Linked DNA regions of Macaca fascicularis. The protein of the gene in region 2 binds, or shares a complex with, the protein of the main gene of each other region. Links are inferred from orthologs where the notes say so. Each region holds a gene or a part of one and is shown on either strand. Other genes may lie near its edges.

Region 1 (4,124 bases), on a different chromosome or scaffold from region 2:
CCTGACGATATTTCTAAAGAGCCGACATTCCGCACTCAGTCAAAAAGATTCCGTTTACAGCTAGGGTGAGTTCACGACGCGTTGGTATGAGTAACCCTACTACTTAGCATCCTTCCAGTTGTATTGCCATATTTGCTTGCACATTTTTAAAAGAATTTTTTCATTCGGCTGCCGAAAAGGAATACATTTCTTTTTCCCAGAATGCTCCGATCATTTACGTGCTGGACGTTCTAACTGTAAGCACTTTCTATTTACATATCTCCGCCCACTCCCTTCCGCCAGACAACTACCGTAATAACCAAAATAGAAGCGATACCAAGTATCTTACGGTCTGCAGAACTAGAAAATAACGTTGCTTCTTTTTTTTTCTTCAGTAGTTTCGCCATCTCAATTGTGCCTTGAAAACTGTATATGTCTTAATCTTACTACAAAACATATTTTATTACAAACCACTAAATACAATGCGGATAATCCCAGACTCAAGACGTAATTATTCCAACACATATCCTCCAGCAGAAGCAGTTTCCGAGGGGAGGACCGAAGCCTATGCCTTCCTTCTTCCAGGAATACGAAGCGGCCCTTGCCCCTGTAGCCTTCGTCCTTAGGTTCCCGTCATGAAGGTGCTCAGAAAGGTTTCTTTTTCAGCCCAAAGACGGTGACGAATAAAGTCATTTCAGTGACAGCTGGAAGGGCACTACCGAGGCAAGTGGTAAATTCAGAAACCCTTTCAATATAAATACCCAAATCTCCAAACCAGAGACCCCACCCCTGAAAGTGTAGGACAGGTGGCATGGGGTAGGGAATGAAAATTCAAAAGACTACAGGATGTTAAGTGGATCTGGTATCTCACACATAGAGGAAAGGGCTGGGTGGGGGAAAAACCCTCAGGTTTAGGGTCAGCCTTCCTCCCTCATTCCCGAATATTGGATGCTACCACACCTGCAGAAGACAAAAATGTACCAATACGTAGTGCACTCCCAACGCTCGAATATGAAGAAGGACAGGGCCACGGATGCACTACAGTGAGCCCCAATGGCTTGGGAAGGCACCAGAGTTAAGGAAAGTCTTTGGATCGACAGATAGTGAGGGGTCAGAAAAGGCCAAAGGCCAGTGGTGGGGTTGGCATCTGCATTCAGGTTCATCGTTTGCTCCCTCACCATATTGCAAGGGCTAGAGTCAGCATCCCCGACTTCTGAATTTTAGGACAGTCATGTGAGGAGAGACCAGAAGTGACTGCGCAGATGGGATCTCAGGCTACCCTACTCCATATCTAGGGGCCAGCCTGGATCCTTCAGATGAGAGGTAAGAGTAGGCTCTCCTGCTATGCCACACAGGAGTGCTGACAGCGACTTGATATGCGCTGGAATCAGCCTCCAGTGTCCTGGTCCTCCTGGTCCACAATTCTCTGACCCATGTGCCTGGCTTCCGTTGCCTCTTCTGAGTTCCCAATGTGCTTTATATCTTTCGTTTTTTGCCAGAGTCTTGCTCTGTCGCCCAGGCTGGAGTGCAGTGGCACGATCTCAGCTCACTGCAACCTCTGCCTCCTGGGTTCAAGCAATTCTCCTTCCTCAGCCTCCTGAGTAGCTGGGATTACAGGAGTGCACCGCCACGCCCGACTAATTTCTGTATTTTTAGTACAGACAGGGTTTCACTATGTTGGTCAGGCTGGTCTTGAACTCCTGACCTCAGGTGATCCACCTGCCTCGGTCTCCCAAAGTGCTGGCATTACAGGCATGAGCCATCGCACCCTGCCTGTGCTATCTTTACACACTCCCATAGCACACTGCTTATCACACTGAATTACAGATGTGTATCTACCTCCTCCTCATGGTTAAAAAAAAAAAAAGTGGAGTTTTTATTATTACTATTTATTTTGTAGACACGGGGTCTAACTATGTTGCCTCCTGCGCGGGCCTCCCACAGTGCTGGGATTACAGACGTGAGCCAACGTGCCTGGCCAAAAACTGTATTTTACTCTCATTTCGGAATTTTAAGTGCCTAGTAAACAGCAGGATTTAGCACATGGTTGAAGATCTTTGAACTGGAGAGACTGGCTACAGCAGACACTATTGTGTCAGGTGGCTGAAGGGAGTCCTGATAGAAATGGGTCGTGTGGGAAAGGTGGGCAGGCAGAAAGGATACAGATGAGGCTCTGGGTGCTGTTGAACATGGAGACTCCTGAGAGGAAACCGGCCAGCTCCACTGCAAAGAGGCCCAGGGTGACAGAAAGCGCGGCCACCAGCCTGCAGAGAGGAAGTGGACTGGCTCAGGCCTTTGGACTTCTTCTAAGACCCCTCCACTCCCACCACCTCTTCGTTCTGGCCACCCCGTCCTAAGAGCTCACTGAATGTCCTGCTTGTCATACTCCTCGGGGGTGAACCTGAGAGGCAGGCAGGCCTGAATGTTGCTGTCCTGGGAGCAGGGCAGAGAGGAAGAGAAGTGAAAAAGGGGCAGGCTGCTGGGCAGGCCTAGGGACGGCGGAACACGAGAAAACCCAAGTGGGTAAGACACTGGGAGAGGGGCAGGGTGGGGCGGGGACGACTCCGAGATGGGAATGGGGGCGGACGGAGGGCAGCCGTGGGTCTTACCCGGGACCAGAATAAGGTGATGACGACCACCAGATGCGCCAGGATCGTCAGGAAGCGAGAGGGCACAAGCCCTGAGACCCGGCCCATGGCCCTTGGGAACAAGAGCGGCGGTCTCTGAGGCTGGAAGTTCAGAGACTGCGACTCCCGCAAGTCCACCAGCAAGCGGACAAATCTAGACGAACTCCTCCTTTCCGCCAGCTCAGGCACCGCCCAGTTGCCTTGGTAACCGCGTACGCGGGCGTGCTGCCGCGTTCTCGGAAAACCTCGCGAGAGCAGTACATTCTCCATCTGCTGTGGGTCTTTCAGGGCTAACTCAGGTCAGGGGTACCCGAAGGAGCTTCTAACCCAATGGCTGGGTACCCGTGCGCAGCCAGGCCCTTTGTTTCTCAGAGGGTGAGGGGTGGCACAGCCGCGCAGCGCCCGATCTGCCCACGCAGGGCCGACGAACGGAAACCCACCCTGGCCTAGCCTGGGGACACCTCTGCTTCCGCGGTTGCCCACGCCGGGAGCGGCCCCCAGCCCCAGCTACGCTGCCCAGTTGTGGATCACTTGAGATCACTCCCACCGCCACGCCGGGCTGAGGTCCCCGCCATGCCGAAGACTCACACCCGCTCCCCTTCCTCCTCTCCTCATGCCTTTAACTTCCCACCAAGCTGGGCCTGAGAAACAAGGGACCCGAACGTGGAGAGGCCGGTGTTCCTGGACTGCTCGGCAGTTACAGATTGTCACAGAGCCCCTGGTTGTCTGAGGACCCTAGGCCTGAACCTTCCTTGAGGAAGACTGATTTCTCTCAGACTACTTTGCTCAGTTTGGTGAAGGATTTGCAGAGTGCAAAAAGTGGTCCGCGTCCTTAAACTAGCGTGGGAATAAGAGCAAAGCAAGGTGGCTGGAAAGGTGGGAGTGGACGAAGGGAATGGTACAGTCCCTGCGTCTCTGGGAGGCTTGGAGCCTACGGGAAGGGAAACTCAACTTAGATTTCTTTATCTCTTGGAGGTGCTGGACCTCCGACATTGCCCAGCTACAGTCCAGGAAGCTCTTATCACCGGCGACGTCATGACCTTTGGGCCTCAGCGCAGGTCCCTGCAGATCTGAAAGTTCTTCTCTAATTGCTCAGTCAAGTCCCATCCTCAAGGAAACTCCCGGCCCATTTCCCAGGAGAACAATATCTTCCTACTTCCCACTCGACGTCTCAGTGCCTTTAGCCAGACTAAAGTACAAGCCCAAGAGGCATTTCTCATTCCTTCAACAAATATTTTTATATATTTATTTATTACCTAGTAATAGTATTCTAGTCAGGGAGATCAACAACAGACATGCAAACAAATAAATCCGTAAGATAATAGGTGCTACAAACAGGGATACGCGGGCCAGGCACAGTGGCTCACGCCTGTAATCCCAGCGCTTTGGGAGGCCCAGGAGGGCGGATCATCTGAGGTCAGGAGTTCGAGACAAGCCTGACCAACATGCTGAAACCCCATCTCCACTAAAAATACAAAATTAGCCGGATGTGGTGGCGCGTGCCTGTAATCCCAGCTA
Region 2 (3,500 bases):
CTATTTAATAGATATAATAAATTTCTTTATTCTTTCAGATAATAAAATGATTTATGTTTTACATCTTTAAGACATACTACATTATTCTTTTTTTTTGAGACAGAGTCTCACTCTGTCACCCAGGCTGGAGTGCAGTAGCGCGATCTCAGCTCACTGCAACCTCTACCTCCCACGTTCAAAGCGATTCTCCTGCCTCAGCCTCCCAAGTAGCTGGGACTACAGGCACCCAGCACCACACCCAGCTAATTTTTTGTATTTTTAGTAGAGATGGTGTTTCACCATGTTAGCCAGGATGGTCTTGGTCTCCGGACCTCGTGATCAACCCATCTTGGCCTCCCAAAGTGTTGGGATTACAGGCATGAGCCACAGCGCCCAGCCACTATATTATTCTTACTTTAAATAATTGCATATTTCCCTTCTATATGTTTGCAAATTTTAAGGTTCTTGAAAGAAAGTAAGAATGATAATCACCAGTCCAAAGAAATATATTTATGCAATTTTAAATATTTAAGAGTAACTTAAAAATTACAAACAGAACTCCTTCAATGTCAAATCTATCATATGACCTGCAAAACAAGCATACACCTAAATATGCACAATCATCAGTACATAACCCTCTCAAGCCTCGATAACTATTATTCTGGTAAAAAAAATTCTTCACATAGCTGGTCTTCATTCATACTCTCTGACATACCTTCAGTATCAAAACAAAGTGAGTTGATAAAACTTTTGTGAACGTCAAACTGTCGGACCAACATGGCAGAATCCTCGCTCATCTCAACTTTCCATATCCGTATCATGGAATCATAGCATCCTGTAACTACCAGCTCTCTTACAGCTGGATGGAATTTAGCCGTGTAAACAAAAGAAGGATGAGGTAAAACTTTGAAAGTATTTGTATTGTTTATTTCATTTTTCCATATCCTGGAAAAGGATAAGAAGTTACATATTGCTTCTTAAAAGCAGAAGTTTCTTTTAACAGTTTTTCTAAGAACCAACATAGCCAATGAACCTTAAGTAAGCAACTGACAACAACCAATGATAAACTAAGTTTTAAAACAATGAAAAATATGATGATGATCTCATATTTGATGACTTGAATTTTCACATTATGACAAAGTTATTTGTTATAGTTATCATCCAGCATATTATATCCACTAATTGTAATCTATACTATAAAATTAATAACTGTTTTTTAAACCTACCTATTTTGCCATTGGTTAAACACACATTGAACAGTTGGTAAAATATTGCATTTAGTACAATATGCATAAAAAATATACAGGGAGAAACTTTAATGATTTCCCATTTACATTGTGTACACCACTTTTACAAAATGTTTATTAATGGGGGTTTAGAGAATAGCATAGTCTATTAACTTTTATATTTGTAATTTCAAAGCCTAGATAGTAAAAATGAAAATCTCAAAGATTTAAAAGAGATACTAAAATTATTATATTTTGAATTCTCAAGTAAAATAAGATTAAAATAACTATGACATTTTGATAGAAAAGACTATCCTACATTAAGCACGTCCTTTTTGTTTAACACTCATTATCCTGTCCTCTAAATAATGGCTAATTAAAAAAAATTAAGATTATAATCACTGCGACAGTCTTGACAAATGAGTAAATCCCTAAGGGTTAATCTGTTAGATACTCTGCATCTCTAGCAATGTATAAAACTAGGTGAACTCTACCAATATACAGGTGCTATATAAGTGTGAAGCACTAGTTTTTAAAATATATTTGGTTATCAAAATTAGAACAACATATTAATTTTAAATATGGGATTTGTATTCATCCTTTTAATCACTGCTTGAAAACTAAAGCAAAGTAAGTCTGTTACAAGATTACTGATAAGAGAAAAAAAAAACAGTTTCTATTCAAGAATAATATTCTATGAGTTTCCTCAGCAGCTGCTTACAATATAGGATATGATCTTCAATTACTAAGAATCCAAACTAATAATAGAGGAAGTGAAAGAACATGTTTTCAAGTAAAAATAAAGCACATGAATCAATTGCACAAACATTTTTTACCACAGTATATTTTCAATAAGCATATTTATATGAAATATGATGTCTATTAGAAGAATAAAACCACTAACTTTGGGAAAATATTAAAAAGATAAAAGATAAAAAACTCAGTTGTTTGGCAAGAAATCTTAGTAGCATTATTTAAAATACTATATAACAGGCAGAAATGAAGCAAATACATCTTCAAAACAGCTCAATATAATTAGACATAATATTAAAAAAAAAAAAAAAAGTAAAGCTTTTTGTGTAAAAACTGAACTGGAATCAATGATGGCTTCTGTTACCCAGGCCATGGGAGAATCTGACATTCAAAGGAATATATAAATGGGCTTGGGGAAAAAAAATCAGACTAGATAATAGACAACAAAGAAACACAAACTTGTAAAGACTGAATGAACGCACACAAAAATTACTAGATTTGGGAAAGAAAAAACATACCAAAGTTAAGCCGTATGTTTGGGAAAAGGGAATAGTGGGAACATGTTTGGGAGCCATTATACATGGAAAAGTCTTTCTGACTATATTGGGCGTTGTTGATTTGAGAAAAACAGATTATTCTGGGGATAACTAAATAAGGGTGTTTAGGATAAACCCATATGGCAGAGAGCTAACCAAGTGGGAAATACTTAGGAGACACTGACAATAATATGTGTCAGGGATCCTCAGGAATAAAGAAGGCGAAGACATGGACAGAAATCCATACTTCTGCCACTTATGAGCATTTGCAATTCTAATTCTCTTTCTTTGGACAACAGCTCATTTATTACAAGTATTCCTTACCTCTCTCAAAAATCTCCTTGCCGTTTTGATGCTAGCCACAATGCTTCTCTTTTCACTCAGTTAATGCTTTCACAATACTATTTTAATGATGTAAACAGTCCTAAATTAATATCAGTTTTAAAGATAAATAAGGAAAAAATGTGTGCTTTAGTATAATATACTACGTATTGTGTGCAGAAACCCAAGATAGCTTCAAGGAATAACAGAAGTTGAGCTGGATTGTAACTAATAACTACAAACCTATGAGAGCTCACAAAAGGCATTTAATTTTTGTTGAACGAATGAGTTAGTCAGCAAGGGTAGGAGAAGGTCATTTAGGTATAGGAAAAGTAGGTAAGTTTCAAAGGGCAGGAAGATGCCAAAGAAGATAAGATGCTAGGGTGTTTCAAAAGATTACATGGGTGAAGCAAAGGGTACAGGGAAGGGCATGAGAGAAGAATGTTGGGTCCATGAGGAACATGCCTGTCCATGCTAAGGAACTGGAAAATTTTTCAAGGGGCAATGGGTAAAGTCTTTTAAAAAATTAAGGCATTATGAAAGATAGTTACGGAAAGATAATTTTAGCACAGCAGAGACAGAGGACTTAGAGACTGAACACTGAGGTCAACAGCAAAATAGGGCTTGAATTAAAGCAAACGCGATAGAGAGGATGTGACAAAATTGTGAGCCTTTTAGGAGGGAG

The links. Proteins that work in one complex are often made in the same cells at the same time.
Region 1: AHI1 (region 2) and TMEM107 share a complex: the UniProt entries of both Homo sapiens proteins name them as parts of the tectonic-like complex. The link is inferred for Macaca fascicularis from reciprocal best matches to the Homo sapiens genes AHI1 and TMEM107.

The regions. Positions count from the first base shown.
Region 1 is NC_088390.1:8,261,417-8,265,540, forward strand, and holds TMEM107 (transmembrane protein 107), read right to left. Parts: upstream 2,801-4,124; 5' UTR 2,676-2,800; coding exon 2,589-2,675; intron 2,413-2,588; coding exon 2,345-2,412; intron 2,262-2,344; coding exon 2,143-2,261; intron 1,303-2,142; exon of another isoform or gene 1,204-1,302; intron 1,037-1,203; coding exon 940-1,036; intron 695-939; coding exon 625-694; 3' UTR 423-624; downstream 1-422. UniProt on the Homo sapiens protein: Plays a role in cilia formation and embryonic patterning. Requires for normal Sonic hedgehog (Shh) signaling in the neural tube and acts in combination with GLI2 and GLI3 to pattern ventral and intermediate neuronal cell types.
Region 2 is NC_088378.1:39,470,506-39,474,005, forward strand, and holds part of AHI1 (jouberin), read right to left. Parts: intron 925-3,500; coding exon 695-924; intron 1-694. UniProt on the Homo sapiens protein: Involved in vesicle trafficking and required for ciliogenesis, formation of primary non-motile cilium, and recruitment of RAB8A to the basal body of primary cilium.